2 linked regions of the Pelodiscus sinensis genome follow. The protein of the gene in region 1 purifies or fractionates together with the protein of each later gene. This does not show direct contact. Links are inferred from orthologs where the notes say so. Each region holds a gene or a part of one and is shown on either strand. Other genes may lie near its edges. The genes, in order: TMEM192 and LAMP2.

The links.
Region 2: the proteins of TMEM192 (region 1) and LAMP2 purify together in Homo sapiens (affinity purification with western blotting; 5 studies listed by BioGRID and IntAct, with this or other methods). This does not show direct contact. The link is inferred for Pelodiscus sinensis from reciprocal best matches to the Homo sapiens genes TMEM192 and LAMP2.

Annotation. Positions count from the first base shown.
Region 1 is NC_134715.1:63,165,045-63,180,788, reverse strand, and holds the start of TMEM192 (transmembrane protein 192), read left to right. Parts: upstream 1-9,480; 5' UTR 9,481-9,604; coding exon 9,605-9,637; intron 9,638-14,323; coding exon 14,324-14,470; intron 14,471-15,744.
Region 2 is NC_134723.1:33,823,040-33,839,400, forward strand, and holds the start of LAMP2 (lysosome-associated membrane glycoprotein 2), read left to right. Parts: upstream 1-9,527; 5' UTR 9,528-9,606; coding exon 9,607-9,685; intron 9,686-15,139; coding exon 15,140-15,258; intron 15,259-16,361. UniProt on the Homo sapiens protein: Lysosomal membrane glycoprotein which plays an important role in lysosome biogenesis, lysosomal pH regulation and autophagy.

The sequences.
Region 1 (15,744 bases):
GGAATGGGCGGGGAGGAGGGGGATGTTCCCTGTAAGCTGTGCATGAGTGTGGCCACTCAGAGATTCCAATGCTGCCCAGCTGATTAGCAAAGCACAGTTAGGTTTTCATTTTGATTGGTAGTGCACATAAAAGTTTTATTCCAAACATGGATAGAAAAGATTAGAGGGAACATTTGTGAGCAAGGTTCTATGGCCTGCAGTTTGCAGGAGGCCAGTCTGCTACTAGATGATCATGATAATGCCTTCTGATCTTCGGGTCTGAGTATATTACAGCCTGATATAAAAGAGCCTGTGGTCCCAGTTTTACTCCCAGGGAAGTTCCCTTTTATGTGCACTACCAATCAAACCCTGTGAGGAATGAACTCGTTGCCAAGTGGCAATATGAAACCTTGGCTACAGGAGATGGTTACACTCATTGTACAGCTAGCATTTGTATCTGAAACACTGGGTCAATCCCTTGTAGGGAAGACAAGCCATCAGCATTCAGGTAACATTTGTAAGAATGGTACAACAGGGATGGAGCAGAACAAAAACCTACCTTGTTTATATCATTCTTGGCTGTCCACATTTAATTATCTACACGGCGGGTAAATTAGTAGTTACATGTAGATACAACAGTGATGGGTGTGGTTTAAGAATGAGAATAGAATAGGATAGTACCAATCTTTGTAGAAGTATCCATGTAAATACTATAGATAAACTGATTGAAACAGCCCAAGCTTGAAGTGCTCTTAATTGCAGTATTTTGAAACACTAGATAATCTGTCATACATACAAAAATGTGACCATGTGACTCAAAAGTAAACAAAGTTTTAAGTCTCTCCAAAAACGTGCCCTCCAATAACTCAATGAAAGAAAGATTTCATTTTACATTCAGTGAAAACATTACTTAATGCACCATGTAACTGTGCATAATCAAGCCAGTACTGATAAATGCACATTCACTAAGCTTTAGGACATCTTTTATAAATCATTCAACCTAAGAGCATGTCTACAACTCAATGTTGCAGCAATGCTGCTCTATTCCAGAGTGTAGATGCTTTCAGCAACAATGAAAAGGTCATTTCTGTCAGGAAATGCACTTCCCTAAGCAATGGTAGCTAAGGCAACAGAAGAATTCTTCCCTTAACTGAGCCCCTTCTACACCAGGTCCTATAATTCTAGTCTAGAGTGTGATTTTTCTATCCCCCTTTTCCCCAAATGATACAACTAGATCAATCTAATTTTTAACTGTAGACCAGGTCTCAGATAGGTGGTTGCAAATATATACAATAGTGAATTTACATGGTGTAGACCAGCGTTTCTCAAACTATGGGTCGCAACCTCCAGGGGAGGTTGTGAGCAACGTAGAGGGGGTTCGCAGCTGGATTCAGTTTTTCACTTGCGACCCATCTCCCCCAGGCCACGAAGAGCGGCAGGGCAGTGAAAGGCAGCTGCCGGCAAGCCACGCAGTGTGGCCGAGGCCATGGGACTCCAGGAGCACGGCTCAGCTGCAGCAGGAGGCAAGGCGGTGGGAGAGTGAGGCCGGCGCAGGAGCAGATGCGTGAGGGGCCGGCTGGGGCACGGTTGCCGGGCGAATGAATGTTTCCCCAGCTGGGAGAGGTCGGGGTCCATTAGGCAATGGGCTGGGGGATTGGATCGGGGCAGAGGACCTGGAGATTAATAAGGGCATATGGAGGTCAGAGATGGAGGCAGAGGAGACATGGGATAAGAATGGAGGATGGAGAAGAGGAGAGAGAGAAGGAACCAAAGGGAGGCAGAGCGGAAAAGAGGCACAGAGGAGAAAGAGACGGGGGGAAGGAGCCTGCAGGGGGGAAGGGCGTTAAGGACCACGAACACCTTGAAGGAACCCCAGGCGGGCAAGGAGTCTGGTGAGAAGGGGGGAGGAAGCGACCCAGGGCAGTGAGGGTGAGGGGTCACACAAATTCATTTAGCATTTTAGGGGGTCGTGGTATCACAAAGTTTGAGAACCCCTGGTGTAGACTATTATGCAACCATGTAAGTTGGTTCTTCAAATTATGAAGCAGTGTGCATTAGATTAAAGCAGTGTTTCCCAATTTTATTTGGCCACAGAACCCTTTTAAACTCTAAAGAATTTTGTGGAACCCCTAATAACAATCTTATATATGAAGCTGAAAATGTAGACCACAAATAAGTAAGGGAAATAATAAACAAATGCTAAACAAGGTCATGATATGTAGATTACCTATCATAGTCAATTTATATTTGTCACAGTTACATTTTTAAATACAAAAAATCATGCTACTATACTGAAGTAAAGTGTTTGCGAGACCACTGCCTGCGCACTCCCATAGAAGCAACTGGTTTGAGAGCCGACGCTTCGACTTTGTCTGACGTGGCGCTAGTGTATTTGTATTCAGTCACCCACATGATCCACACTCCCTCAGAGTGAGTACGGGGATTTATGGTGGTATATAACAGGTGATCATACCATTGATTGACTGCGCGCGCAGCACTGAATAGTGACATCATCATCTCCACTCTGTGGCTAAACTGGCATTACACAGGGACACTTATCGTGGCAAACACAAATGAAAATGATTGTCAATAAAATTCATAAATGCTTAAATATTATTTTTTTAAAAATCATAAAATGTTATTGTAATGGAATGTTCTCATGGAACCCTTATTTTCACTTTGCAGAACCCCAGAGTTCCATGGAACACCATTTTGGAAACAATGAATTAGAGAATAGACTCAGACTCTAAGGCTGCGTCTAGACTGGCATGATTTTGCAGAAATACTTTTAACGGAAAAGTTTTTCCGTTAAAATTATTTCTGCAAAAGCGCAAAAGCATCCATGGCCAGTCTAGACGCGATTTTGCGCAAGAAAGCCCCGATCACCATTTTAGCCATCGGGGCTTTTTTGCGCAAAACAGTTCTTCCCTGTCTACACTGGCCCTCTTGAGCAAGTATTCTTGCGCAAGAGGGCTTTTTCCCAAGCGGGAGCGTGAAAGTATTTGCGCAAGAAGCACTGATTTTGTACATTTCAAAGTCAGTGCTCTTGCGCAAATTCAAGCAGCCAATGTAGACAGCTGGCAAGTTTTCTTGCCAGTCTAGACGCATCCTAAATGTTTGGCCATCTGGGGCTAGTATCACATAATTTCCACTGCATTGACACTGGAAAACAGACAGCTACTTAGCCACTGCATTAGTAGTATATTTTGATTACCTGCTGACATGAATTGCCATAAAAGAATTATAGGTGTATTCTCATCTTAAGCACTGTAAAAGAAACATGTAAAAGGTTACATTTTGGTATCACAGTATACCAAGTAAAGAGCAGCTTTTACTGAAGCAGGCAAGGATAAAAAGAAATGTTTCTATAAATATTTTAATTCCATTAAAATTGGACTTACACAGTGATAAAACTTGTATAGGCTAGTGAAGAATCAGGCCTCAGATTTTCAGACTCATTGTTCATAGCTTTTAGAACAGCTGTGCTAAACCACTTAATCTCTTTGATCATCTCACCTCTCATCCTTCTTCAGCGGCATCAGCTCAGATGACATCTATATTAAATTTACAATCCAAATCCAAGTTGTTCCACTGTGAGCTCTGTGCTTCTCTAAAACAGGTCCAAAATCTTTTCATAGGCATAGAAAACACAAACGTTATGGTCACATGATGAGAGAGAGACAGCCTCCTTCTAGACAAAGTGACACTGTCTGTTTCAAACCTGTCACCCTCATATTCTCCACTTTGGTTCCCCAGTCAGTGCCTCTAACTCCCACTCCAAAGTCTGTCTACTCCCACCCCTTCATCCCAGGGCAGGGTGACCCAGTGGTCAGAGTCTCACTTGCCCCTATGGGCCAGGTAGTACAGTTCAATAGTCCCAATGCAACCCAAATGTTCAAGTCTAGAACTTGCCCCTATTTGCAAGGCAGCACAGTTCAATAGTCCCAGTTTATAGCTTGCCCCTCCTTGTGGAGGAATGTAACCCAATGGTCAATCTCTCAAGGGTCAGTAGATAAGGGAAACCTTTACATCCCCTGCAGCAGGGAGTCCAGGCCCTCCCACTCCACTGGACCTCAGCCCAGGGACCTGTTTGTGGCTTCCTCAAGCCACTGAGTCAGCAGGGAAAATTCAAGCAGCAACTTGCTGACTCTCCAGTGTAAGCTCACTCACCCTGTAGCCATTGCTGTCCCTGAGTTTCTTCCTACTATTGGGCTGTGTCTACAAAGGTACGATCTCACGCAAAAGCGGCCGCTCTTGTGCAAAAACTTACTTCCTGTCTACACTCGCCGTGTGTTCTTGTGCAAGTAAACTTATGTTCTAATGTATAAAATCAGGGCTTCTTGTGCGAGAACTCTGACACTCCTGCTCAGGAATAAGCCCTCTTGCACAAGAGCTCTTCCAGAAGAGGCCAGTGTAGACAGGCAACATGAATTTCTTGCGCAAGAAAGCCCTATGGTTAAAATGGCCATCAGAGTTTTCTTGCGCAAGAGAGCATCTACACTGGCATGGATGCTCCTGCGCAAAAGCACATCTCTTGCGCAAAAGCACATGCCAATGTAGTCGGTCTTTTCTGGAAGAGTTTTTGCAGAAGAATTCTTCTGCAAAAGAGTTTTTGCGTGAGAACACGCCAGTGTAGACGTAGCCTAAGTGTCTCCACTCACTGATGAATCTCCAGCTCCCCTCCTTCATCTGGAACTTGTAAGGTCTCTAGATGGCCTCCGGGGTAGTGCCTCTGCATTTGGATAGTCTGTACAGTTTGCCCAGAACTGGCAAGGCATATTCACTCCCTTCAGCCACCAGTCCTAACTCTCTTGGTGTTGCGGATGCCCCCAGTAGTCATTAAGGATGTTAAGCGGCGGATAATTGGCTAACTGTGTAGTCGATACAATTTGTATCGACTACACGATTAGTCAGTAAGGGAAGTCGTTCAGTCCCAGCTTGCACCAGGTCCAGGAGCTACACCCTGCTGTGGCTCTGCAGTTTAAATGTAGTAGGAGCCAGGCATGCTGGCAGCCTGGCTCCTACTACATTTAAACTGCAGAGCCTCAGCAGGGATAGGTCCCCAACTCAGAATGAGCCAGGACTGAGCAAGCCCAGCTCAATCCTGGCTCACACCAGGTCCAGCAGCGAGGAACTGGGACCTCCCCCCTACCCCGCTGCTGACAGGGGCTGCTGCCGGAGCAGCTTGTGTTCACAGCCAGCCTGGGCCACTCTGGACAGCGGCTGCTTTGCGGCAGCAGCCCCTGTCAGCGGAAGTCCCAGGTCCCTGCTGGGACCCACCACAGTCCTGTGGAGCAGCCTCTGCTCATGAAGAGCCTGGGCAGCCTCCTCTGCTCCATTCTGATAGAGGCAGCAGCGGGGAAGGAGAAGGTGGCACTGCAGAGACGGTGCTTGGGGGAACCCACTTTAAAGCTGGCTCCCCCAAGCACCTGCTCCTGCTTTCCCCTGCCCCCATCCCCCTTACTGCCTGTGATACAGAGGCAGCAACAGGGAGAGAAGAAATGCGAGTTGAATACAAGACTACCTCCCTAGTAGTCACTCTGCAGTATAGTTCTACCCTGTGGGCTTACTGTCCCCAGTGGCCTCTTTCATATTGCATCCCCGCTCTTTCTGGCCTTCCCTTTCCATGTTATGGAAAACAGTTCCATTCCCAGCACTTTCTGTTTTCTTGGCACAACCAAACCCTTACTGTGCTTTAAATTAGGATAAGATGAAGCCACATACCAAATTTGGTGGTCCTAGCTCTCACCATTCAGAAGGAGTTCTTGAAGAAACAGACTCACAGAGGGACAGACAGACAGATGCACACTTCGAAACTATATAGATGTCTCGGTGTTTTGTTTCTACTGGTGGTGCCCATTAGCTAGGAATGGGGAACCGTGGCCAATGCTGAGGGAGTGGTGCTAGCAGAAAGGGAGGCCCCTTCCAGGATTGGTGTGGGGTCAGGGAAGGCAGGAAGTCTGCCTCAGCCCAATTTCCAGCCTCTTCCTAGAGCCAGCACCCCATACTTCCTCCTAACCCCCATACTCCCTCCCCCAGATCAAATCTTCCTCTCAGAGCCAGCAACCCACATCCCCACCTGCACCCCTGCTGTGGGTGGTTCTAGCTCCCCAGCTCTGCCCCTTCTGCCCAAGGTCCCGCCCATTCATGCCCACCGCAGTACAGCCTGCACAATGGCTGCTGCCCCACACTCCCAACCCATTCTGTACACTGGCCCTTGCCCCATGCTAAATTTCCCCCACCCACCCACCTGCCGCCCAGCACTGGGTAGCATGGTCACACATCCTGGAGCACCGGACAATGTGGCCCTAGCACACGGGTGGCCAACTTGTGGCTCCAGAGCCATATGCTGCTTTTCAGAAGTTAATATGTGGCTCCTTGTGTAGGTACCAAATCCAGCGCTGGAGCTGCAAGTGCCTACTTTCCACTGGGCTGGACCCCCAGCTCTGTCCTAAGTGCTGTCCCCCTCCATCCTTTCCCCCCTAGGATCCTGCCACTTCCCACCCTCTCCACTGAGCCTGTCACACCCATGCTTCACCCCCTCCAGTGTTTTCCACGGAGAAAGAGCTGATCACAGTGGACAGGAGGAAAAGGAAAAGGCGGCACTGACCAGTGGGTCTGCCCATGGGCGGGATGTGCTGAGAGTGGTGGTTGGGAGATAATCAGGGCTGGTGACATATAACTGTTGCTCTTTGGCAACGTGCATTGGTATATTCGGGCTCCTTCTTGGGTTTAGGTTGGCCACCCCTGCCCTAGAATCTCTGCCCTGAGCACCATGGGAAGGGCTGGAAGCATGCAGCCCAAGCCTCCTCAGCTCCAAGCATCACAGCGGGAGGGAGAGGGTGGATGAGTGGTGCACAGCTCCAGCATCACCAGCTCCAGAGCATGGGGAAGGCTCATTGCTTGTGTCACGAACCACAGCACAGCTGATGCCCGGGGGCAGCAGTACTGCACATCCAGAATGCCTACTGCTTCAGCACAATGTTCTGGGGGGGAAGTGTGGGCAGGGCCATGGCTGGTGGTTTCCTTTCCTGACCTATTATATCCACCACCCATGACCCCTGCCCCAGCCCTGTCTCCCTGTCAGAGCCAACACCATGTACCTCTCCTGCCCCTAAGCCCCTCCGTCCCAGCCCAGAGCCCACACACCCTCTGTAACTCCAACCCATGGCCCCAGCTGGATGAAAGTAAGTGAGGGTGAGTGAGTGCTGGACAGGGAGGATGGAATGAGTGGGGCAGAACTTGGAGGAAGGAGCAGGGAAGATCCTGAGCTTACATTCAAAAAGTGATCCTGGGCACAGAAAGGTTGAAGACCACTGCACTAGTTAGATTCCATCTGCAGATTCTCAGGCCCAGATCCTCAAAGTTGCCTAATTCCCCCTGATGTGAATAGGAGTTAGGTGCCTGCCTAAATACCAGTGAGGATCTGAGCTTACTTTGAATTTATCAGTATAAGATTGCAATATAAAAAGCCAAACAATTAAAAAGAACAGTACCAGCTGCCAACTATGTAATAACATAAAAATAGATTTGATATGAAGACTCTCATTTGCACTAAGGCCTCTTCACACCACCAGGCAGCAAAAAAAAAAAAAGGCATTAAAGTACCATCTTTTAGCATATATAACCCTCTGGTTATGCAAGATTTTACAATTCCCATTCCCCACCTCGTTCAGGTGTTATACAAGTTTTTTTTTTTTTTAAACACAGAAATTAACTAACTCTTGCTTAATAAAAGCAGCATATTTTAATTTAATAATAACGGCGGTGATTTCTGGTTTCAAGCCCAGCTGGTTAATTTCTTTATGTACAAAAGTTTTAAAATCATCCATGTTCTTCTCCCATTCATTGGGAAGCCATTGGCCAACAGATGTCCGTGTGCAAACTGACATGGTTTCTCCGCATAAATTTGTACACCCAATTTCCCGAGCCCCCATTAAAATCATAGATTTTCTGTTCTATAGCCATAAGTCAAACAAGCCTTGAGCTGTATAGCTACCGTTGATACCGCCTGTTTGTTCTCTCTCTGTGCATGAACCCAGCGTTATCAGCTGCGGTTTATTAACACTTCATTACAGGTGCTGTTCATTAACAGTACCTGTGGTTCATCTCCTGTGGGCTATACATGTGCGCTGGTTATCTAAAACTTTGTTTAAACAATCAGGAAAAACCATGGGTTATGCACGGGTGCGGGTAATTCACGTGCACGGGTTATATATACTAATTTACGGTAGAGATAAGTTACATTTACATTTGCTACTGTCAGAGCAATTTTAGGATGCCTTGGGTCTTATCTGCCAACAAAAGTTGTAACCCTTTCACTAAATCAGTTTAGAAAAGTGCATCATTACATTGAGATAATCCCTTTCTTGGAAAAGCTTAAACCCCATATTGATTTGATATCTCAATAATGAACTGAAAGAATGAACATTTACACCAATATAAAAGCACCCAAAGTCCCAAGAACCCAAAAATAATTGGCACGACTTGGAATCCTTAGAGAACTCCTTATTAGCTGCCTCAGCAGAAATTTAATGACACCTGAAAGTAGTAGTTCTGGTTGCTCCACAATACGCATGTTGGCAAAGAAATGTGCACTGCTGTTGTAACTGTGTTGTAACTATCAATGCTTTCACCTCCTTGCCTATCAACCCATGCAAGCAAGTGGGATTGTATCATACTCAGGAAGCACGGAGGAATCCGCTAGTGACAGGTCATATTGCAGCAGGGATATAATTGGGGTTGTAGAAAGGAGTCTGTGCGCTACACACACGTTCAGCAAAAGAGGATATTTGATAAGAGTATCTGCCCCACTGGTGGCCATGCTACACTTAGCAGTAGATTTGTCCTCTAGTGAAAAATGAGAAGGCACATTCCTCCTTGCAGGTGACTGAGCTGGGCTAGAATAGATGTAGCGTCCTGGTTCAATGTGGGCCCTTCCCTATCTTGTAGTAAAGGGAGGGCATAGAAAATCCCCTGAACCACTCCTTCTCTGCACCCCTAATCTCAGCCTGGTGTAGAGAGGACGGGGTGGGGAGTTGGACAACAACCCCTCTACTGAAGGGCAGAACTCAACTCGCTTCCTGGTATCAAGCTTTGCAACCTGACAGGAGGGGTCTGGTCACCCCTTGGGTTTGACATCCATGGTGCCACGGATGCCGATAGACCCACCCCGCTGAAACCAGCCCTGCCACAGCGCAATGTTGAGCCGTTTCCCTTAATGGGAGCTTAACACTGGTGGGGGTTGCTTTGGTTTTGGGGGAGGTGTCGAGGCCTCTTCTCCCGTTTGTACAGCAAGCAGCAGAGGCCGGGGCTACGGTACGATCCCCAATGATAACAGTGCGCTGGCTCGAACGGCCGGCAAACCTCCCAGCCAGTCACAGGGCGTCGCACAGACAAACAGCCCGCTGCAGCCCCGCTCCCCCGTGTGCCAGCCAGGCGAGAGCCGCTACCAGCGGCTTGCAGGGAGCAGGCGCTGAGGGGAGGGGCAGGCGGAGGTGGGGGCGGAGCGCTCGCTTCAGGCCGGTAGAGGCGGGGCGAGGCCTGGGTCGCGCCGGGAGGCCGCTCCCGCTGGGGCAGGGGAGCCGCCCATTAATAGAGCTGGCGACGGCGACGGCGGGGGGCGATGGCGGCGGGAGCGCAGCGGGAGCTGGAGAACGTGAGCAGCGGGGTGCCCGGGGGGGCGGCCTGTGCAGCCCGCGCCGGGGGCTCGCGCTGTGCTCGGGTGTCAGGCAGCCGCCTGCACGCGCCGGGCGGGAGCGCCGCTCAGCGTCCTGGGCTCGCAGGGGAGACGCAGGTTGAAATGGTTTGGCTGTGTCCGTCCTTCGCACTTTAGGGGGGGGGTGGGGGTTCTGCGTGGGAAGTCGTGGAGCTGGGTCCTCTCCGGGCTGGCCCTGCACTGGCTTCTCCTTAGGCGGCATTCCTAGAGCCAACAGCTCTGTGCCTCAGTTTCCCTAGCTGCCCTGTCAGACGCGTAATTCTACTCGCAAAAGAGAGTTGGGGTTTTTTTTTAAAGCAAGATGAATATGCTTATAATAAGAAACATGGCTTTAGTATGTTAGGAAAGACAGGACTAGGCAGCACTTTAAAGACTAACAAGATGGTTTATTAGGTGATGAGCTTTCGTGGGCCAGACCCACTTGCTCACATCAAGTAGTGGAAGAAAATTGGCACGACCATATATACCAAAGGATACAATCTAACAAAAAATGAACACATATAAAATTGACGAATCTGGTTTAAGAACAGAGGAGGGGTGAAGGGGGAAGGTTAGTGTCTGTGAGGTAATGACATAGGGGTGATAATTGGGGAAGCTCTTTTGTTTCAGCTAGACCAGACTAACACAGCTGCATCTCTATTAGTATGTTACTGTACTGTTGTGCTTCCTTTCCCCCCCCTCGCCCCGTTTTTTAAAGTTTTTTAAATGACTGGAGAAACAAGTGACAAAGTGGGTCCAAGGGCGTGCGTGCTTCTTTTAAAATTGATGTGTTGGAAAACAAAAGGCAGCCTAAAAGCCAAACCGATGTGTTTATTATATATACAATTGCTTCCAATGTTTATTCAACAGAAAATTCTTCTATTTGGGGTTTTGTGTTTGCTTTGCTCCTCAGTGCTCAGCACACCCTGTTCAAGAGGCCTGTGGGGATGAACGGGAGAAGGGACTCCCTAACGAATTGAAATTCATGACCTGAGGTGGGTCATCAAAATTGGGTAGACCTAAAAGATAGACCTAAAAGATAACTTTAGGGGTGGATGAAATGAGTTCTTGTAAAGAGACGTTGTAGTTACGATAAATGTCAAAAATTGTCAATTTAAAACTCATTCTGAAAATTGGTTTTATTTACGTTCCTGCATAATATCTTGTCTGTGGGCTTTAATAAGGAATCCTATTTGTTTTTTTTTAAACACTACTGTTTTGACATTATTTTTCAATTAATATCATTTGTAGTATGCCACCTTTCTGGCTGGATTGTGTACGCATGTGTGTATATGTGTGGGAAAGACAAAGATAAATCACAAAAGCAACTTCACTGCATATATTCAAGTAACCGCCTTCCTCTGCACCCAAATTATAGATGATTATATGCACAAAACTTGTTTGTTACTTTTTTTAAGAAGGACTTGAGGAAGTAGCATGGCTATGAAACTTAAGTTCTCTATTTAATACACAAGGGATATTGACCTTAAAAGTACAAGCTGCTATAATATCTGCACTTGGCTATCCAGATGCAGCGTCTGTGCAAACAACACCTAGTAATGTCTGATTTTTGGCATGGAAATATGGCTGGAGGGGTTTTGGAAGCTGGGAATCTGATATGAGTAACTAGAACTAGTGTAAAGAGATGCTTTTGTTGAAAGCAGAACTGCAGTAGAAAGCCACGCATGTGACTTCCATGCATTGGTCTCTTCTGCTTTGACCTAGAAACCAGGCCTCAATAAGTCTGCAGTATAGTGATTCGTGTTCTGGCAGGTTCCAATGTAACCAGGATATCTTGGAAGCTATTGGATTTAGTCATTCATTTAAAATCCAAACATACTGTCCCCAGTACAGTAGAAAAGATTGTCTGATTCTGAGAAACATAGGTTGGTTATGGATTAGTGCTGGTAAGAGGGAGGGAAATGGTGCATATTTTAGGTATATTTGTTTTTCACATGAGACTTAGAAAATGACACTTCTTTTAGTCAACAGTTGGCTGCTAGTGAAAGGTGAATATTTGCCACTTCTGATGTAATTTACACAACATCCCTGTTTATTGTAGTACAAGTGCTTTTATATTGTAGGAATAGGAGGCTAGGAAGCAGCATGGTAATTGAGAATACTTGAGTACATAATACAATCTGGTTAGACTGGTGTTTTTATGCCAGTTAGCTCCATATGCACTTGAGTCCTTATTAATGAAGTATGTTGACCTCTCCTTCTTTGATGCTTGGATATGAGTTGACTTGAGAGTTGACCAAACAAAATAGTTAAATTTGTTGGGATTCTGCCTTGTTGATTGCAGCAGCTTGCTTTGCCACCTTTGTGGCAGTGATGCAATCAAGTAAGGAACTTTTGCACTATTGGCAGAAGAATTCAGAGTATTGTGTATGCATTTTTTTTCTTTGCATCAAAGGCTTTCTAACATGTTTCCTCTGTACTTAATCTGTGAACCTTGGGGATTTTCTGGGTTGTAGAGGGTTTGGGGTGAATGGATAAGCTTGTTGAATGTGGCCTTATACTTAGATGAGTTGAAAACCAAGGGAGTTCAGGTGTCTTAAGGGACAGACCAGCTTTGTTTGGTCACTTTCCTGATAAGTATTTTACTTCCTTTGGATGAGATAATCAGATTAGGAGAGTGTGATGTCAGGGATCTCTCAAAGCTTGTGTATTTTCAGCAGCATGTGTACCTTCTAAGGCTCTCTGGGAATATCTCATGTCTTCCATGAAGGCTAGGAGATCCATTACTGAAACATTGCAATAATACGTGAAGGATGAGGTTATTGGACCCAAGAAATCTGTTGGATTTTATTACCATGTTGTGCTGCAGCTCTGAGGCCTTCCTGAAAGGTGACACAGATTTCTGTCTGACAGCCTGTGTGCCACTAGAAGTCATAGGTTCCTGGTCTTCGTTTCATAGCACGTGCATGCACTCAGACGACTTCTGTAGCAGAAATGGGAAGAGGAACAGGAATACACGACACTATTTTTAGATGCATTGTGGAGACACTTAACTTGTGATGCTGTGCTTGGGGAAACTAGTTTCACTAGGGTAAGGTGGAGACATGTTTCAGTCACGTGAGAGTCACAAGTGCTTGATCTAAAATTGCAGCCTAGATTGTGGTGGTTTTGTTGATGGCCAACCATACAGTCAGCTGTAGGACCCAGGTGGCCACTTAGCTATTTAAAAGTGTTACTTTTTGAGAAGGTGGCTGCAGAAGCCTACCTTTGGTTATCTTAATGTAGAGTTATAAGGGGGATGACACCAGAATCTACTAGAGAAGGATGGGGGAGGGGAGAATTTTTTAGAAAGGGAAGCGATCTCAAACTCCCATATGTGGGCCACTTATGGCCTGAGCAATTGCACAATCTGGTCTGGGAGTCCCAGTGGGCTTGGCGGCGGGGGAACTACCAATTACCAGGCCCCAAGCTGTGCCCCTTCTTGTCACCATGTTGCCTCTTCCTTCCCTCCTCCCCACCCCCACATGATTGTAGGGAGAGTGACAGGCCCTGACCAGTTGTGCAACACCAGCCCTCCTAGCCCCCTGCGGTGTTCCCTGAAGCCATGTCTTGGGAGGGCACAGGGTGCCATGGGGTGGGGGAAAAGGATGGGGCAGTGGTGCGTATGGGAGGAACTCGGGGGCTGATAAGACAGAGACACCCCCCCCCACACACACACACCCTTGCCTGGACTCACTGGCTGGATTGCATAATTCCTCTGCCCAGGGATAGCCTGGGGGCAAAGAGTTTGAGATCCCTGGTGAAGAGCAATTGGATTCTAGATTCTTTCTATGGTGTTGGTGTTCCAGATCCTACTGCTAAGACTTCAGGATCTGTGTTGTCTTGTAGCCCGGTGTTACCAGACTTGCCCAATACTCTGGGGTATGCTCATTTATTAGCAGGGCTCGACAAATTATGGAAAATCTTACTCGCCAAACAAAAAGGACTCGTTTTTTTTAATGGCATAAATTCCTAATAAGAATAAGAACAGTAATTTCTAATAAGCAGGGCTCGCCGAACCGCGAGCTTGGAACTGCTGAAACTTCTAGTGGTTGCCTGTTTACACAAGTCCCGCTGCCTGGGCGGCTTTGCTCGGGTGTCCCTGGTCTGCTGGGGGTGTCCAGCGACTTTGCTGGTCTGCAGGGAGACGGGGAGCAAAGCCTTGGAGCACGCCCGCAGCGGGACAGCCCGGGCGCTTGAGCTGTCCCCCTGTGGGCGTGCTCCGCAGCTTTGCTCCCCGTCTCTCTGGTCTGCAGGGAGACGGGGAGCAAAGCCTTGGAGCACGCCTGCAGCGGGACAGCCCAGGCGCGCCTGGGCTGTCCCGCTGCCGGCTTCCCCGGCGGCTTTGCAAAGCCACAGGGGGGCTGGGGCTCCGGGAAAGCGGGTGGTGGGACAGCCCAGGTGCGCCTGGGCTGCCCCGCAGCCCCAGCCCCTCCGCGGCTTTGCTCCGCGTCTTCCTGGTCTGCAGACCAGGGAGATGCGAAGCAGCTTTTCTCGCCCTGGAGTACACGTAAGTCGGATCCGCGTAAGTCAGGGACTGCCTGTAGTTTGGTACAGAAAGATGGTGTGCCTTGTAAACAGTCATTGAAGGAGAAATGTAAAAAAAGTGTGGGGAAAAGTAATCTTAAATCCATGTTTAAATTTCAGGGTTCCCTGGAGGTAACCCAGAGCACAGAAGATGATCCTCTACTTGATGCACCACTTCTTCCACCTCATGAATTGCATTCACAACTGAGTCCGAGATTCCATGCTATTCCGACAGTCTTAGTTGCCAATTTTCTGTTGCTTCTACATGTAAGTGTTTTTTTATTTATTTTAAAGTACCCTCAGATTTTAATTAACTTGAGTATGAGGAGATAATGGGAAATTCTGGTTCCCCAGCTGTAATGCACTGGACCTAAAGCATGGATTGTGAGTAAGGAGAGCAGTGACTTTTGTTGCATACTCCTCATACCTTGTGTTTAAGTTTTCTGTCCCAACACTGCCAACTTCCAAGTCGCATGGATATGGCAGGTAATCTAGTCAGATAAGAAGTCGCTTGACTTGAGTGTATCGGATAATGTGAGTTATAGAATCCCAGTTAAATTGGGATATGGCTTCAGGACCAAGAAAGCATTGCTGCACTTACTCTTTTGTGCAGAGTTGTTTGTTTTTTTGTGAGTTTTTTAAATTTAGCAATACTTGATATTAAAGACTAATCCAGTCTAAATTTTTGGTTTATTATTTATAGTTATTTCCTGTGAACTTAGCTTTGTCAATGCTCAACTAGTTCTAAAACCTAGTAAATAAGTGTCTTAGCTCTTCTCAGGTTAGAAAAAGTCTTCAGATCTCATATGTAAGCAACTTGCACTCATATAACTGTATCAGTATGTTTAATAGAGTTTGGGTAGATCTGATGTTGACAATGCATTAATGTTACATCTTCAATACCCTTCCCACTCTGAAATGTTAATGGGGGTGGTGGTGGTGGTGATGTTCCAAAGGCATACAAACTACATCATCAAAACCTGTTTCTTAAAATGGACTTTGCTACGTTTGAGCAACCCCCTAGTGTAAAGACCCTTTAAACCAATTCAAGAGTGCATAATGTCAATTTAGTTGGTGTTATTTTGGTATGTAGTCGTGCCCTAAACTTGTCATGTTGGTAACTACAAGCATTGAAATAGTGCTTCTCTTTGATAGGCTTTAGCTGGTGTTCTCAAGCACACATCCATCTGAATTTTTCTCACCATTTTTTTTTTTACATGAAAAACAAAAATAATTAAACCTTTCACCAAGCATATTCCAGTGTAAAAAGTAGTGCATTTGGTTAACTTAAATGGCAGGATTGATGATGCAAAATTGGGTATCTGTAGGTAATCGCGAAGTATTACATTATTTTCTACAAACTAACTCTTCATCATATATAATAGATATAAAAAAATATATATGGCTGATGATAAATTAGAAATCATTAAATGTGTACAATAAGGGAAGCTAAAGACGTGGGGGGAAAATCCATCACTGGTAAGGCTAAGGACAATAAGTACCCTTCTTATCCTTACTGTATGCTAGGGACAGAAAATCCT
Region 2 (16,361 bases), on another chromosome or scaffold:
CCAGCAGTACTATACCTTGTGCCTTCTGATTATTGGAAGCTTGTGGAAACCCTGCAGTTGCAGATCAGGGTCAGTTCCACCTTCTGCTTCTGGATTCAGAAAGATGGAATTGATCCGTCTGCCAGAATCTGAGCTGGCAGCTCCTTTGGTTCCATCTACCACAGCACCAAACAAGAAGCACAGAGACAAAACGTCTGCTGTTACCAAAGCTGGCTCCTGTGCCAACAGTTGGATCTGTCTGATTCTGACAGGACTGGTACGGTGACAAAGTGGATGTCTGTTCCACCTCTGACTTCATAATAAAGTAGATACAGTTGGGGAAAATGTTGGATCTGAGATTGTCCATGTCTTTGAATCTATCATTGGTTCCTGGCCAGTCTCAGCTACATCTTCTGTTCCAGAGAGTTCTAGACTGATGACTGCCCAAGTTCATCTTCCAGCTCCACTTGATTCATCAGTTCTGAGTGGAGGAAACAGTTTCCAAAAGGAGACATGTTTCCCTAGTTCCACATTCTTCATCATCCACTGTTAGGAAGAAAAGCTCAGAGGTTGCTATTGGTCTTCCTCCAGAATTCTTTCCTCCTCTGGACTCTGATGGAGACTCCAAGACCTGGATCTCACACCTACATTCAGACCTGCTACTACCCTTAGTACAGTCTTAGTAAAGATCTTTACTGGGAAGAAGACAAAACAAGAATATAGCGATCTGTGGCTTGTTTTGAAACACATGCCTGCAGAATGCGGATCATATATGTTTCCTGCACCCTGGTTCTGGGGAGATTGGCAGTCCTGGGGTTCATGGCTGTATTGGGAGGCCACTTCAGCAATTTTTCAGTTATCCTCCAATCACATGGAGAAGGAAATGTTTTATCTGTTAAAGATCTGACAATCCCAAAATCCGTGGGCCCAGCTCCTGATCCATCTACTTTACCAACAGAGATGCCCAATAAAATGTCTAAAGGAGAAGGTGAAGCGGTAGTGCCTCTGTTTGAACAGAAACATTCCAAAATGGTTTATGAGCCCATCTTATCCCCAGGTGAACAGGTAGGAGTGGCTTTGGACTCCTTCCCCTTCTGAGGATGCTACACAGTTCCACAATTTGGTCGATCGTATGCAGTCCCTTTTAAAATCTTCTTACAGTGCCTGCAGAAAAGACATGTGGTGTTTAATATCGCTGATGCTACTTCATCATCCATTGGTATTAGGTTGGTTAATTATCAGGTGGTCACTACCTGTTCCATTTTCTATCTGTCAGCTGCTGGTCTTCTGCACCAGAGGTCAGACTTGAAATATGCCTTTCCTGTGATCCATCTACTATATATTTGAGAGCGTTCAGTTTGTGTGTCAATTATCTGTGTGTTTATCTGTCTGAGAGACCGTTTGTTCAAGAACTCATCCTAAATGGTAAGAGCTAGGACTCCAAATATGTATCTTCATCCTCTTATCATAACTTAAAGCAAGGTCAGGGTTTGGCTGTGCCAGGACAATGGGATGTGCGTGGAATGTGATTTGTTTCTCATCAAATGGAAAGGGAGGAGGCGAGACAGCAGCAACAGTTATACTTATGAATGATCACAAGGGGGCAGCAAGCATATGGGACAATTGTAACACAGAATGACCATGGGAGCAGCTGCTGGCCAGGAACACAATCCTTGCCACTGGCTACCCCAGGAGTACAACTGGCAGCACATCCACCACCCACCCCAGGCTGGCCCCTACCATGCAGCCCCTGCAGAGCATCTGCTGCCCTGAGCCGTTCCCAGGGAGCTCCCACACTCTGAAAACCTCCTCACTGCCCCCAACCTTGACTCCTACACTCACCGACCTCCTGCCCTGAAAGACCCGAGCAACACTGGGTAAGTCTTCTAGTAAGGTAATGAGAAAGATATATACTATTTACGTAGGATTTTTTCCAAACTTAAAAATAATGTACAGCTGTCCCTATTTTTTACAGGACCTAAACAAAATAGAAACACAAGATGCTTTGCACAGCCATTTTTCCCCCCCCCCCCCCTTCCTAGATGTTTCTTTTGCTTTTTAGGTTATTTTTTTAGACTTGCTAGCCACTAAGTTTACTGTGGAAAAATAATATTAACAAACATACAAATATCTTTTTTTTTTTTTTTTTTTTCACAGCAGACTTACTCTGCCTCAGGAAGCCTAAAGACAACTTAAGCCTTAGATGGGTAGGTTGGTATGGAGGCATGATAAACTTTGGGTCAGATCCTACCACCTCTTAGCCAGAGCACAGAGCCTGGAGAAGCCACGTGGATACAGCCTGCCATTTTAGACCTGAATCCTGACTGCACCAGCCCCAGGAAGGTGGGCAGCTCCCTGGATGCTTTTTCATCCAACTTTGGGGTTCCACAATTGGGTCCTGCCCCCCGGCAAAGCCCCAAAGCCACTGCATTGTTCCCACTCCCATCACCAGGCAGGAGGCTGTGGTAGCAAGAAAAGCCCCTGTGGCCACATTTGAGAAATGCTGTCCTCAAGAAGGAAGAGCTATGTGGAGTCCATGTGCTGCCTGTGCTCCACCTCACCCTGAGTGCTAGCTGTGCAGTTCCCATTAGCCAGGAGTCACAACCAATGGAAACGGGGGGAGGGGGAAGGTGCCTGCAGACAGAAGCAATGCACATAGCTGCCTAGTTGTGCCTCCAAGTCGTAGCAGCAAGGGCATGTTGTCACTTGTGGAGATTGCCCAAGGTGAGTACTGCTTGGATCTAGTGCCCTACCCCTTGCCCTAAGCCCCCTCCTGCACCCAAACTCCTTCCCAGAGCCCATCCACCACACCTCCTTTCACATCCAAACTCCCTCTCCAAGACCAACCCCACTCTATCTCCACACTCTGAACCCCTCAGCCCCATTCTGGAGCCCCACTCCTGCACCCCAAAAAACTCATCCCTGGCCCTGCCCCAAAGCCTGCACCCCCAGCTGGAGCCCTCACCCTCTCGCACACTATCTTCCCATCTACATCCTGAACCCCTCATTTCTGACTCACCCTGGAACCTGCCCTCCCATACTAATCACTTTCCCTCGCTGCAGAGAAGCCAGCACCCTCCATCGCTGTCTCCAGCGTGCAGACCAGGCTTTTCTTGCCTACCCCTGGGGTAGAGCATCTGGGGGCTGCTGGGTTGGTCCCACAGCACCGCTCCGGACCAACCCGGCAGCACCCCAGCTGCTCTGCCCCAGGCGTCCTGATTCAGCTGCTGCTGGTCAGTTTCAGCAGCGGCTGAATCAGGACGCCTGGGGCAGAGCAGCTGGGGTGCTGCTGGGTTGCTCCAGTACAGCCAAGGAGCCGCGCTACTGGAGCAACCCAGCAGCACCCTAGCTGCTCTGCCCCAGGCGTCAGCCACTGCTGAAACTGACCAGCGGCTGACTACAGGAAGCCCAGGCAGCTGACTTGGGGACGCCTGGGTTTCTTAAGTTGAATCTGTATGTAAGTCAGAACTGGCATCCAGATTCAGCCGCGGTTGAAACTGATCAGTTTCAGCAGCGGCTGACGCCAGTTCCGACTTACATACAGATTCAACTTAAGAACAAACCTACAGTCCCTATCTTGTACGTAACCCGGGGACTGCCTGTACTGCAGAGCTCACAGCCTGGGTAAGCGTGTAACCGCTGAAATGTTCAGCGATTACATGGTTATCCTAATCACAGGTTTTCACATCCTAACTCTATAAACATGCTGTGCCCAGAACAGATCTATACTGAAACTGATGCTGAAAAAGACATGAACGAATCACAAGACCTGGGTGCCATTTTATTTAAAGACTGATAATAAATCGCTATGGCCTCAAGGAGAATCAGACAGGTAATGCAATCAAGTTTAAAAGGATCAGCTACTGATTACTCAGTTATACAGCTCCCCATGTTGAAATATTGTCTGACACACACACACCCTTATCATTCTAGTCAGCTCTCACAAATCATGTCCCCATAGTTTCAGAAAAATTCTACTTCTGAGCCTGTTCCTTTTTGCTGGAAGTTTGGGGTTTTGGTGTTTTGAGGTTTTTTTGTGGGTTTTTGTTTTTTGTGCAGCATGATGTAGTTTCTCATTAAAATGCATCAGGTGACAGCCAGAGTCTTGACTAATCATTTTCATTAAGGTGATTTGAATTTGTGTGGTTGACTGTTCCTGCCTCTTTCAGACAATCTACATTACTTACTACTATGGTTATTAAGAAATTGCTTTAAATATACCAATATGGCAGTCCAGACCTTTCAAGATCTAATTTTTTTCCTAATGTTAAAAAGCTAATGCTTTCATGCAGAATCCTCATAATGGTAACATCCTAGTGGATATTATCTGATCTTGATTAAGCTGTTGTCCAGACGATAGCCAAATCCACATTGCATAGCCTGCATACTGAACCACGAATTTGGCCTCAATGGGAAAAGAAATATTCCTGAAGTGGCTGCAATAATGCAGAGGTGTCTGTGTCTGATGTCTCTCTATTGTGCATATCCATAATCCCCTCTTTCTTTTCCCTTCCAGGGTACAGACTCCTTGTTATTGTTTTGTTTTTTGTATGCCAGGATTAGCTCTAGGCAGAAGAGGCTTAAAGTAAAAGTCAAATCAAATGACTAAACTTACCAGGATAACTGTGATAACCATTGCATTTCATGTATATTATCTCTCCTTTACTGGCGGCTTGTATATTCCAACACTAGAACTGTATGGCTACGTCTAGACCGGCATGATTTTCCACAAATGCATTTGCAGACAAGAACGTCTAGATTGGCACGGACGCTTTTCACTTTTTGTGGAAAAGCGTCTGTGCCAATCTAGATGCGGTTTTGCGCAAGAAAGCCCCTTCGCCATTGGGGCTTTTTTGCGCAAAACAGTTTTTAGCTGTCTACACTGTCTACTCTTGCGCAAAAACCTTTCTGGAAAAGGGCTTTTGCCCGAACAGGAACGTCAAAGCATTTGAACAAGAAGCACTGATTTCGGACAGTAGAACGTCAGTGCTTTTGCGCAAAATCAAGCGGAAAAACTTGCCAGTCTAGACGCAGCCAAAATCTTCTGAACATTTGGTAGGATGTTCCAAACCTCCATTCTGAAAATTCAATACATCATGGAGCACAAATGCACTGCCACATAGAAATATCCCATTTGTTAATTTCAAATCACACTGTCCCAATGGGAAATGTCTCATTAAATCTGGATCAAGTGGCCATCAACCAGGACTTCCCTAAATCATACCAAATGCACATGAAGTCTTTCTCGATACAGTCAAATGCAATTTTTTTACTTACTCCTCATCTGCTATCCCCTACTCCTTGGTTGTAAATAATTGATCATATAGGCCTGAGCCTTGATGTCTAAAGTCAATGGGATTCACCACCAATGTCATCAAATCAAGAAGAAAACTATTCATGTTGGAGCCACTAGGCTTGTTCCTTCCCCCCACCCCTATATCACCTTCTAAGAAAATTGCAGAGGAATCAGCCAGAAACTCCAGCTGGTAAGAAAAGTAGGTTTATCAATTTTGATTGGACACATTCCTGGAGGTTTCATGTGATATTTAATGAAAGATTAATATCGAATTTTCGGAGGCTCCAGGACATTCCTAGAGGGTTGGCAACCATAAATGCAAGCCAAAGCAGCGATCTTGGGACATTCCAAGAACTTTTTATAGTTTTGATTAGATAGCCTGGCTGCTCCAACCTCCTCATCCCTCCACAGAGTCTTTTCATCCTGAGCCTCTTCTTCCCTACCTTATCTCCTTTGTCCCTTTCCCTTCAGCTTATCTTCTCTTTGTTATTAAACCCTCCCCCCCCCCAAAAAAAAAAAATCACAGCTCTAACATGCCATTTGCTGCTATCGCAGTCTTCATTCTGCTGATGTATTCTATGCATTCCTTCACTCTGTTATGTCTTGTCGATTTGGATTGTAAATCCTTTGGGGCATGTACTGTGCTGCTCTGTTAGTACTTGGTACAATAAAGAACTAGTCTTGATTGGCTCTTAGACACCAGGGTAATAAACAGAATTAAGAGTAAGTACTCATCAAAGGCTGGATCCTGTAAGGTCCTCGATTCCTATTCCCTTCAGCAGGCCGAGAAAGTGTTCTGCACCTTTCCGGATAGGCACCCTAAGTCTGACCCTCACCAATAAACCTTGCCATCATGCTTGAGGAATAAAAATGGGTGTGGGTTTACAAAATCAACCTGACAGTTTTTGTTAAAGGGAGGATTTATTTTGTCCCTTCCACGGTGGTGGGGAAAGGTTTGGGACTTGCCAGAAAGAACTGTCATGCAGACTCCATACCAGCCCTTTTGGGGCCAGAGAGAATGCCTTGAAACCCAGCCATTGCTAGTAGGATCAAGATAGCTAGAGTCAGATGAGTGAGAGAGAGAATGAAGATGCTGTTTAGAATATGCAAATGTCCGCTGTTCCAGACTATACCCAACACTTAAATGGTGCTGAATGGTAAGTGAAAGCCCTGAATACTGCAGACCAAATTCATCTCTGGACACAACTCCATTAGCCTCACTGGAGCTTGCATTAATTTACACCAGGGTAGAATCTATCCCTGTGTTTCCACAGGCCAGGCTTACAGAGGTCCTCCCAGACTCTACATTTAGGAGCTGGGACCTACAGAGATTTTCCCATGGGGCTGTCTCATCATTATCACTACAACTAACAGAAATTTGCAACCACAGACCCAGAGCAGCCATCAGTATCTCTTGTTTCAGAGTGTGACAGGAAAATAAGTTAACTAAGACACAGTCTGTATTTTTGTACTGTGTGTGGGCTTGTCATTTTTATTAAGACAAATTAAATCCTGTTCCCTCTCCCACTTACTTTAATGCAAGTTTTGCCACTGACCTCATTGGGAGCAGGATTGGGCCCTTCAGTTGGGTGAGCAAAATTATCTATCCCACAATTCTCAGGCTTGAACTGTCTCATTTTTCTCTTGCTTGAAACAGCCAACAGGACATACTAAGAAGCAGTTTCAGCCAACCTCAGAATGCACAAATGATAATGCACAAATGCACGTGATAAGCTCATAATGAGATGAGGTGACATCACAGTCAGTCTTACAAAGGGCGTTCTTAAAATTAAAGGAGACACTGTTAAGGGGGCAGTGGTAGGTTAAAAATGAGATATATGTTAAGAAATCCCTTACCTGTTTCTAATCATACCCTGGCATATTTGGTGATAAGCAAATCTTCTTAACATTTGTTAAGTTTTAATAATCTATTTGGTCACTTCTATGAATCTGCTAAACTCAGACAATAAAACAGGCTGTTATCAGGTTCATTTTAGTTTCTGCTGAATTCCTGGTCCTGCTCACGTTCTGGTTCTGATGTACTAAGTAAAGGCTGTCGTGTAGAATACAAATGTCACAAGGAAACATTTAAATTCACATGCATTTAGGAATTAATCCAAAGGCCCTGAAGTAAAGCTCCAATTGATTTAAAAAAAAGGAGCATTCCAGAACACAGACTGCTACACATATATTAACCAAATGACCCCCTTTCTTTAGTGGCTCCAGGTTAATTACAATCATAGTCTAGTTGAAGGTCTCTGTTTTGATATTCAAACTGCTTCCTGCAAATGGTCCTATGTGCCTGAGAGATCACAGTTCATGATCCTGAAAGCTGGACCTCGACTTCCTGCAGCTCCCCTTGGCTGCAAAGCACAAAACGGAGTGAATGGGAGCCACAAGGCTCTGTGGCTGCAGCACCAGTAAATAAACAAACTGGGGCGTCCAGTTAATGTGTTTCTGAAAGTGATTTCGCAGAACGCTTTCAGAAACACTGCTCTAGAAGGCTGACCCACACAAGGGGGTGGATGGGACACACACTTTGCCAGTGTGTTTCCTGGATATTTGTTGACAGCAGAGATATATTGAGATTCAGGAATCCTGAGTTCTATTTTAGGCTCTGGAGGGAAGTGTTCTGCCTGTTTTCACCAAGACTGACACTGTCTGCTCATGCCCTTCTACCTGTCCTGGTCCTGTCTCTCTCCTTTCTTGGCTCCTTATCTACCCAGGTCCAGCCTCCATAACTCTGGCTTCTCATCCCAGTCCCACTCACTTTTTATAGACTCATAAGACTGGAAGGGACCTCGAGAGGTCATCAAGTCCAGTCCTTTGCACTCATGACAGAACCAAGCATCATCTACACTAGTGGTGGGCAACCTGTGGCCCTTGGGCTGCATGCAGCCAATTGGGGATCTGTGTGGCCCATGAGACTTGAGTTTACTGTTGCCCATGGGCAGGGTTGCCAGATTCTGCTATTTTCTGTCTGCATAGAATTTTTTTCGTGCTGGCATTACTAAAGTGAAGCAAAGGCATGTGAAGTTAGGTGATGTTTGCTTTTTTTGTAACAGTGTCACATTATTGACTCACATTTAGCTTGCCATCCACTATGGCTGCCCCATCCCTTTCTGCAGTACTCCTTCCTAGACCATCATTTCCTATTTTGTATGTGTGCAACTGATTGTTCCTTCCTAAGTGGAGTACTTTTCATTTGCCCTTATTGAAGTTCATCCTATGTTTACCTCAGACCATATATCCAGTTTGTTGAGATCACTTTGAATTAAAATTCTAAAAAGTACTTGAAACTCCTCCCATCTTGCTAGCATCCACAAACCCACCCAGTCTGAGTCTTCTACTCCAAATCATTTGTTTGACTCCCAATTTTCCCCTTTCCACAGCCAGTACCAAATGCCTATTATTTCCACCCACCCACCGCAACTTCTTGTCCACAGTCTCCATGCCTCCTCCTTTCCCTTCCCTTCTAGCTCTCTGACCAGTCTCATTCCCAGGACGACGACTCTAATCTCAGTGTAATCTGTTTACCCACCCACTTCCTGATTCCCTCAATTGTCTCCCCTTCCCGGTTTCCTTGTCCCAAACTCGCCCACACCTTGTCCACCCTCCCAGTCAACTAGTTCCTAATTCCCACTTCTTTCCTCTGCTCCCAGTCCCCCCCCCCCACACTTAGTCAGTTTCTCTCCCTCCACCTCTTTAGTCCCGTATCAGTGGGCTCCTTGTCCCGTTCTAGTCCCTCCCGCTATTCTGATAGAAATGTAGCTGTGTTAGTCTGGGGTAGTTGAAGCAAAATGCAGGACAATGTAGCACTTTAAAGACTAACAAGATGGTTTATTAGATGATGAGCTTTCGTGGGCCAGACCCACTTCCTCAGATCCCGCTATTCTAGCACTAGAAATTCTTAGAGAAAAAGTTCTTCAGCACTTTCTAACACGGGCACCACAACTTAGTTTCCCCTCATGTCATTCTGGGAAATGGTCTGGTGTTAAAATATTAAAAAGTGTTTTCAATGTATAAGGTAGGTCGCACGCAGTTGCTTGCTGTGTGAAAGGGGTCCCTAGCACAAACGTTTGGGAACCGCTGATGTAGACCTTTTTCCCCCTTATTCTCAGATGTCCCCTTAGTCTTATATTGGACCCTTAGTTTGCCGCCCGCCCGCCTTAGTTATAAATTCGACTATGCCTGTGACCCATAAAATTAATGGTGGGGTGAGGCGCCTCTGTGATTGGTTGCCCGCCGAGGGCTCCTCCCCTTCATATGACCGGCCTTGCGCTTTCACTGCGCCCGCCCGTTCGTCACGCAGAGCCCCAACGCTGGTGAGCATGGCGACGCGCTGCTCTTGGTCGCGGCCCCTCAGCCTTACCTGCGGCTGCCTCCTGCTCCTGGTGCTCGGCGGCCCCGGTGAGTGCTCGGCGGCGGCTGGCTCCGCAGCCTGCGGGCGGGGGGGGCGAGTCCCTCGGGAGGGGTCATGCCGGGGGGGGCGGGGACGCTCTGAGGGGGGGCGCTCTGGGGGCGGGGACGCTCTGAGGGGGGGGCGCTCTGGGGGCGGGGTTGTGAGGAGGGGGGCGCTCTGGGGGCGGGGACGCTCTGGGGGGGGCTGTGCGGAGGGGGGCGCTCTGGGGGCGGGGACGCTCTGAGGGGGGGGCGCTCTGGGGGCGGGGTTGTGAGGAGGGGGGCGCTCTGGGGGCGGGGACGCTCTGGGGGGGGCGCTCTGGGGGCGGGGCTGTGCGGAGGGGGGCGCTCTGGGGAGCTCTCTGAAGGGGTGGGGGTGCCCCGGGATAAGTGCAGGGGCTGTGGGCGCGGGCTTTCTGCGCGTAGGGGCGCTCTGTGCGGGTGGGGGTGGACTTTGGGGGGGGCTCCTGCGTGTAGCGCGAATGTGTTTTGGAGGGGCGGGGGGGTCATGTCTGCGCAGTGGGCGATGGCTGCTGGGGGCCGGGCGTTGCGTTGCGGATCTCGCTCGCAGGTGCGCCAAGTCCCGGAGCTTGGTCCCTCGAGGCAAGGCTCAGACCACGGGGAGAGGTTTTTGCCCTGGGAGTGATGGGGATGAGTCCCCTGCACTCAAACCAGCTCTGCTGGGCCCTCAAGGGTGTGCTGGGGGGTAGCCCTGAGAAGGAGGCGGGGTGAGCATTCCTGGCACTTGTGTGAGAGCTGAAGTGTGGCTGCTTTTCTGGCACCTTTGGGAGGGTGCCCTGAGAGCACAACTGGGCTTCAGGCAAAAGCACAGTAAAGATGCTCCAACATGATATTCGGGGCAGTCATAACTCTCCATTTCTTCTTTTCCAGGGTGTGCTCCCTTCCTTGCCCCCCAGTCTTCCCTTCTTCTATGTGTTAAACAGACCCATGGTGTCTGTGAAATGCTTCTTTAATCCTTCCTAGTCTACCTAACGGCTTCATTTTTTTGTTTTGTTTAATGTGGCATTTCAGTTTGGACTCTGTACTATAAGGCCTGGATTTTCTCTCACTGCAAACTCAAACTGGCTTTAGGTTTGTTTTTGCTACTGTTTAGGATAGAAGTGTGTACCATTATATAGGGATGAACAGACATGGACTAGAAGTGCTAACTCTAGGTCTTCCCAATGTGATCTCCTATGCAAAGTGAAAATGGTGCTGAATTTGATTTCTTCTAATTAATTGCAATCCTGACTTGTTGAAAAGGCTGTTTCCAGCCTTGGTGTATTGATATTTTTACAGAATTATGCTGTCAGGTTAATATTAAGTTATCCAGAGGGATAGGAGAATAAAATGAAAAAGGATAGGGGAGTAGTCGCCAGCTTTTTGTCATATATCTCTCAACTTATTTGGACCAACAGACTGCATTTTGATGGCTTTCTGGGCTGTTGGATTAACATTGTTACTTGAAATACTGGGTATTCCACAAGAGCACTCTAAAACTGTAACTGTAAATACCTGAACAAGAGTCTCCTCCTGTAAAACATGTTCTTACTTGTAGCCAAATTGGTCTTTACAGTTTTGCAGGTCCAAATAAGCCAAGTAGAAATCCAAACTGTACAGAGTATGCTGGAGTAATACTCTGCTGGGTAAACTTTAAGTGGCATCTTTCCCCACACCTTAATGGATGCAAGTAATTCTTCATTTGGTGCGTTTGGCACAATATCCTTTCACACTGGGTGAACTAATCCAAAGTGAGAGTAGCTAGCCTGTGGTTTTCACCAGACAACTCAGCAGGTGAAGTGTTTTTCAAAGTGGCACTTCTCTTTTGGATCAGGAGTCTGGTCTTTGACATACTTCTCTGCCAGAACAGCTATTTCAGTCACAAATCACACTTCATCACACCTCTCATTGGCCTAGCTATTCCAGCAAAACTTGTAGTGGTAAGTGCCGCCACTTGCTACTGCTAGTGTTACCGTATTCCAGATTCCCAAAATAAAGGATGCTTGGGGAAGAAGAAACCTGGGGGATACTCAGTGGAGTTGAGGAAAGTGTCACTTGGTGTCAGTGTAGCAGGGCAGCTGGCACAAGCCCTTTGGGATTCCTCCCCTAGGACTGGGGTGAGTGTGGGAGGGATCCAGCAGCTGTGGCTTGCAGGGAATGGGCAAATCAGATGCAGGGAAGGGAGCAATAAGCGCTGTTTCTGAGCTGCAGCTTGCCTGCTCTGCAAGCCTTCTCCCCACCCCCCATGTTTGAAATCTTTTCTCACCCAGAGAAAGCAGGCTCAAAGAGGCTATTTCTGGAAACTTTTGATGTATGGTAACCCTAGCTTCTGCTGCATCCACATCACATCAGAACAAATTACTTTCCCAGAGGAATCAGAAGTTATCATTGTTTTCAAATTTATTTCTGCAGGTGGTGATGGGTGGGTTAGAAAATGTAGGCTTGAGGTAAAACCAGGTTATCCAACTTTCCATTTTGAATAGGGCCCACCACTATAACCAGACATCCTTTGTAATTGTTAGTAACAGGAAGAGCACTTTTTACATATATAGGGTATTGCTCTAAATTCTGCTGTCATTCTTCTTTCTTATTGGAATAGTTCAGCTGCAAGACAAAAGGAGAATGCTGCACTTCAGTTGTACTTTTGTTCAAATATCTTTACTTTATTTGAAGGTGCATCAGTAGCTTTTTTTTCATAAAATGAAAATGAGGCAGACTTATTCAGGTGCTGCAGAGCAAGTCAGCAGCACAAAATAGAACCGAGTCCTTGCTATGAGTGTCTTGTCTTAAAAGCAGCATAGGATTAGGCAATATGAAGATAGTAATTTCAGTGCTACATGCATTGTGCTCTGTGGCTCGTAGAATACGTATGAAAATTTGGACTGTCTTAATAAATCATGTTGTGGTCTTGAATAACTGCCATGGTTTTAAAGAACTATCATAATCTTTAATATATAATAATGTGAAGATTATGAAGTTTATATTACTGCCACTCTTATGTCTATACCTCTGGACTTTATTTCCATGTGACTTCTTTTACTAACATCTTGCTGTAAGACTGCTCTCCTATCTTATCTAGAGCAGGAAATGGTAGCGATTCTTATCGAGCAACACTAAGCATCTCCCTTACTGAATGTGATGGTAAAAAAAAAAAAAAACCCACACGAAAGTGAAGCATTCTATAACTGCAATATTCAGGTTTCCAGTCTCTAGAAATAGTTTGTTGAGACAAGTTCTGGTAATGGTCACGTGCAGAGGCGTTTGGACTCTCTCTGTAATGGGTACAGTCTGCTAAGCTCAAAGATGCATGATAGCCTGTCATATTAGAGTAGAGGGGCCAGGAGCATGGTGAAGGCAACATTTTTGAGAGGTTAAAGAAAAATGTCTAGTACTAGGCGCAAGTTTTTCTCTGAAGAATGGGGGGGGTATTAAGTAGCTGAGGGCTGACTAGTACTTACAAGGTCTGGTAGGGAAGCTTGAATGCTTGCTTAAGACCAGGTTTCGCAATTCCTTACAGCTCAGTCAATGCTTACATATGTGCTCTCCAGTGGAAGTTGTTTTGAAACTTGTACATTACAGACTTTGTTTTGGTTTTTAAAGTAGAGTGTGTAGATCAAAACTGTAAACCCTTAAGTACTAACACTGACTTTTTGGAGTTTTGACTGGCTTTTTCTGAACACTGAAACGTTATTAACAAATGACCATGCATAGGCAAGCTGGCTTATGCATTGCGACACTTGTATTTAAAATTTCTTAACACTTACACTTTTTGGATAAACCAAACTGGAGTCTTAATCACTTGCTATACTAAAAGCATCTAAGTGTAATCTCCCTAATTTATAATCTCTCTAAATAAAAATAATTTGTAGTGGTAACAAGTACAATTTAATATTTCAAAGTTCCTTCAGTAAAGCTTCTGAAACTTGGTGTTTGGTGCTACACTTTCCATAATAAGAGTAAGTCAGTTCTAGCTTGTCAATAATGATAGTGTGTGACTCACTATCACACACTGGCTATCACTATCACTTAAATCACTGGATTTAAGTAGTCATTTGAATATAAAAGATAATATTTGGGAAACAATAGCAAATTGTAGCCCAGTCTCAAAGCTGATTTACCTGTCAGCAGCTAGGGAGTCTACAAGCTGAACCAGTTTCCACTGTTAGATTTTTTTTTTTATATACTGTCTCTCTCAAAATGCCTTTGAGAATAACTCAGTCAAAAATCTTCAGCATTCTGTAGGAAAAGAAACTTGAGATCTATGCTGCTAAAACAGGGTTTGTGGTGGTTTTTGTGGAATGGCTTGTTTTTTATTGGTCAAGTCCTGCATTTTTAGTCTCTTTTCTGGAAGACTGGTCATCTGGTAAGCTAGTAATATAATGTAGATACCAAGTAAGTGAAGTCTGACTAAGAAGTGCCCATAAGTTAGACTTTTAAACACCTGTAGCATTGACAATCTATAGTCAGAAGGGGAACTAAATTTACTAACTAGGCTCTTCGGTTAAAGTCCAGAAACTAAAACACAATTTTAAGAAAGGTACAGAGCCACAGACTCTCAATTTGCAGGCCACCTTAGTTCAGGGGCGAGCAAACTTTTTGGCCAGAGGGCCACATCTAGGTAGGGAAGGTGGGTGGCAGGCTATGTGTGTAGGACTTGTGCAGAGTTGGGGGCACAGGAAGGGGTTCATGGCTGGAGTTGGGGTTCAGTTTCCCCATTCCTGGCCAATGGGAGCTGCAGGGATGATGTCTGCTAGTGAGGGCAGCACATGAAGCCCTGTTGTCCCCCTCACTCCTCCCAGGGACTGCAGGGATGTGCCAGTGATTTCTGAGAGTGGCATGGGGCAGGAAGTCGGCCCTAGCCCCAATGTGCCACTGGCCTGGTAATCCTACAGGATGGGTCAGAAGCTCTGTTGGGCTTCATGCAGTCTGTAGGCCATAATTTGCCTAGCCCTGCCTTAGGTCATATCTGTTGCTAAAACAGAGCATAATGACTCTTTACGGCCATTCTTACCATCTTGTTTAGGGAATTCTGTCTTGACATACAAAACTTCTTCAGTGTTCAAATATTAATTAAATGAATTAATGACATAACCTCTTAAGATCTGACAAGCTGCTTATCTCAAGTACAAATTCCAATGTGCTCAAACTTTCTAAACATCTTGCTTCCTAGCTACCTTTACGTAAAATGTGAATTCTGCTGAGCTAAATGTCTGTGTGAAATGTTCTTTACTTTGTAGCAAGACAAGATAAAAGCTCCAGAACTTAACTTAAATCTAGAAGTTATATCGTGTTGCTAATTCTAGTATTAGAAAATCAAGTAGCCTTCATGTCTCTAGTAAAATTAATGTAAACCCGAAAGAATTTGCTCTGTTTAAAACATTTTGTAGTGAATTAATTTGTGAAATACACTGTAAAATGAAGTATCAATGTCTTACATGCAAACAATTACTGTATATATTATAGGGGTTTTCCAGTCACATGCAGTGGAAGTAGAGGTGAAAGATTCCTCCAATACTACATGCATATATGCAAAATGGATGATGAGCTTCTTGATAAAATATGAAACAAACAGTAGTGAATATGTAAGTATTGAATTTAATGCTAACTTCTGCTGTTAGAAGTACTATTCATTTCATTTCCATGTTCAGTCTTGAGAAACTTCAAAACAAAATTTTCTTTCTCCAATAAGTAGGCTAAGTATCAGGCTGCTAATCTTGTAATATTTGTAATATTTGATTTCTAAGTCCTTCCTAAAACTCAATCACACCATTCAGTCATGCTTAGGGCCCTACCAAATTCATGATCCATTTTGGTCAGTTTGTCATGGGATTTAAAAAAATAGTAAGCTTCATCATTTTTGCCTTTTTAAACTTAACATTTCATGGTGATGTAATTGTAAGGGTCCTAACACACAAAGCAGTGTGTAGGAGGAGGGGTCACAAGATTATTTTAGAACAGGCCTGGACAAAATATGGCCTGCGGACTGAATCTGGCCTGCCAAGCCACTAGATCCAGCCCATGGGTGCAGTGGGGAGCCCCAGGCAAACTCCCTTGCTTGCCCCACACACTACTCAGAAAATCAGCACCTGGGCCATTTCTCTTGCAAAACTTTGATCCAGGGCGGAGGCTTCAGGTACTGCCCCTGCTTCCAGCACAATCCCATTGGCCAGTTTCTGGCTAGAAAGTGGCCATTGGGAGCTGCCTGCCTGAATAAAAGCCAGCACACATAGCACCAGGCTAGTATCAGAACATCCCTAGTTCTGATACTCCTCAGTCAGCACCACTCGGCTCCTTTTGAACCCCAACCCTCTGCCCCAGCCCTGTTAAAAGTCAGTAAATGAGAGCAGGGGATGGAGTGAGTGAGGTGGGACCTTAGGGAAAGGTGGGGCACATCTTGGTTTGTCCTTACACTTGGAAAAATACCAGGAATAAAAAGGTTGGAGACCACTAATCTAAATGCTAGTGTCTTGCAGGCAAGATAAGACCTTTGGCTAGATTTTTCAACTTCTATTCTGAGTCCAACACAGCACTTTTCTAATTCCAGTGGTGGTAAACTTTAGAACAATGTGTATAATGGAGTAACTTTCTTAACCCTTCTTTGAGTTCAGTTAGCTGTTCCACACAACATTTCCTAATGGAAACAAATAGGAAGCTTCCACTTCTACAGAATTGAGACTTTCCAGGA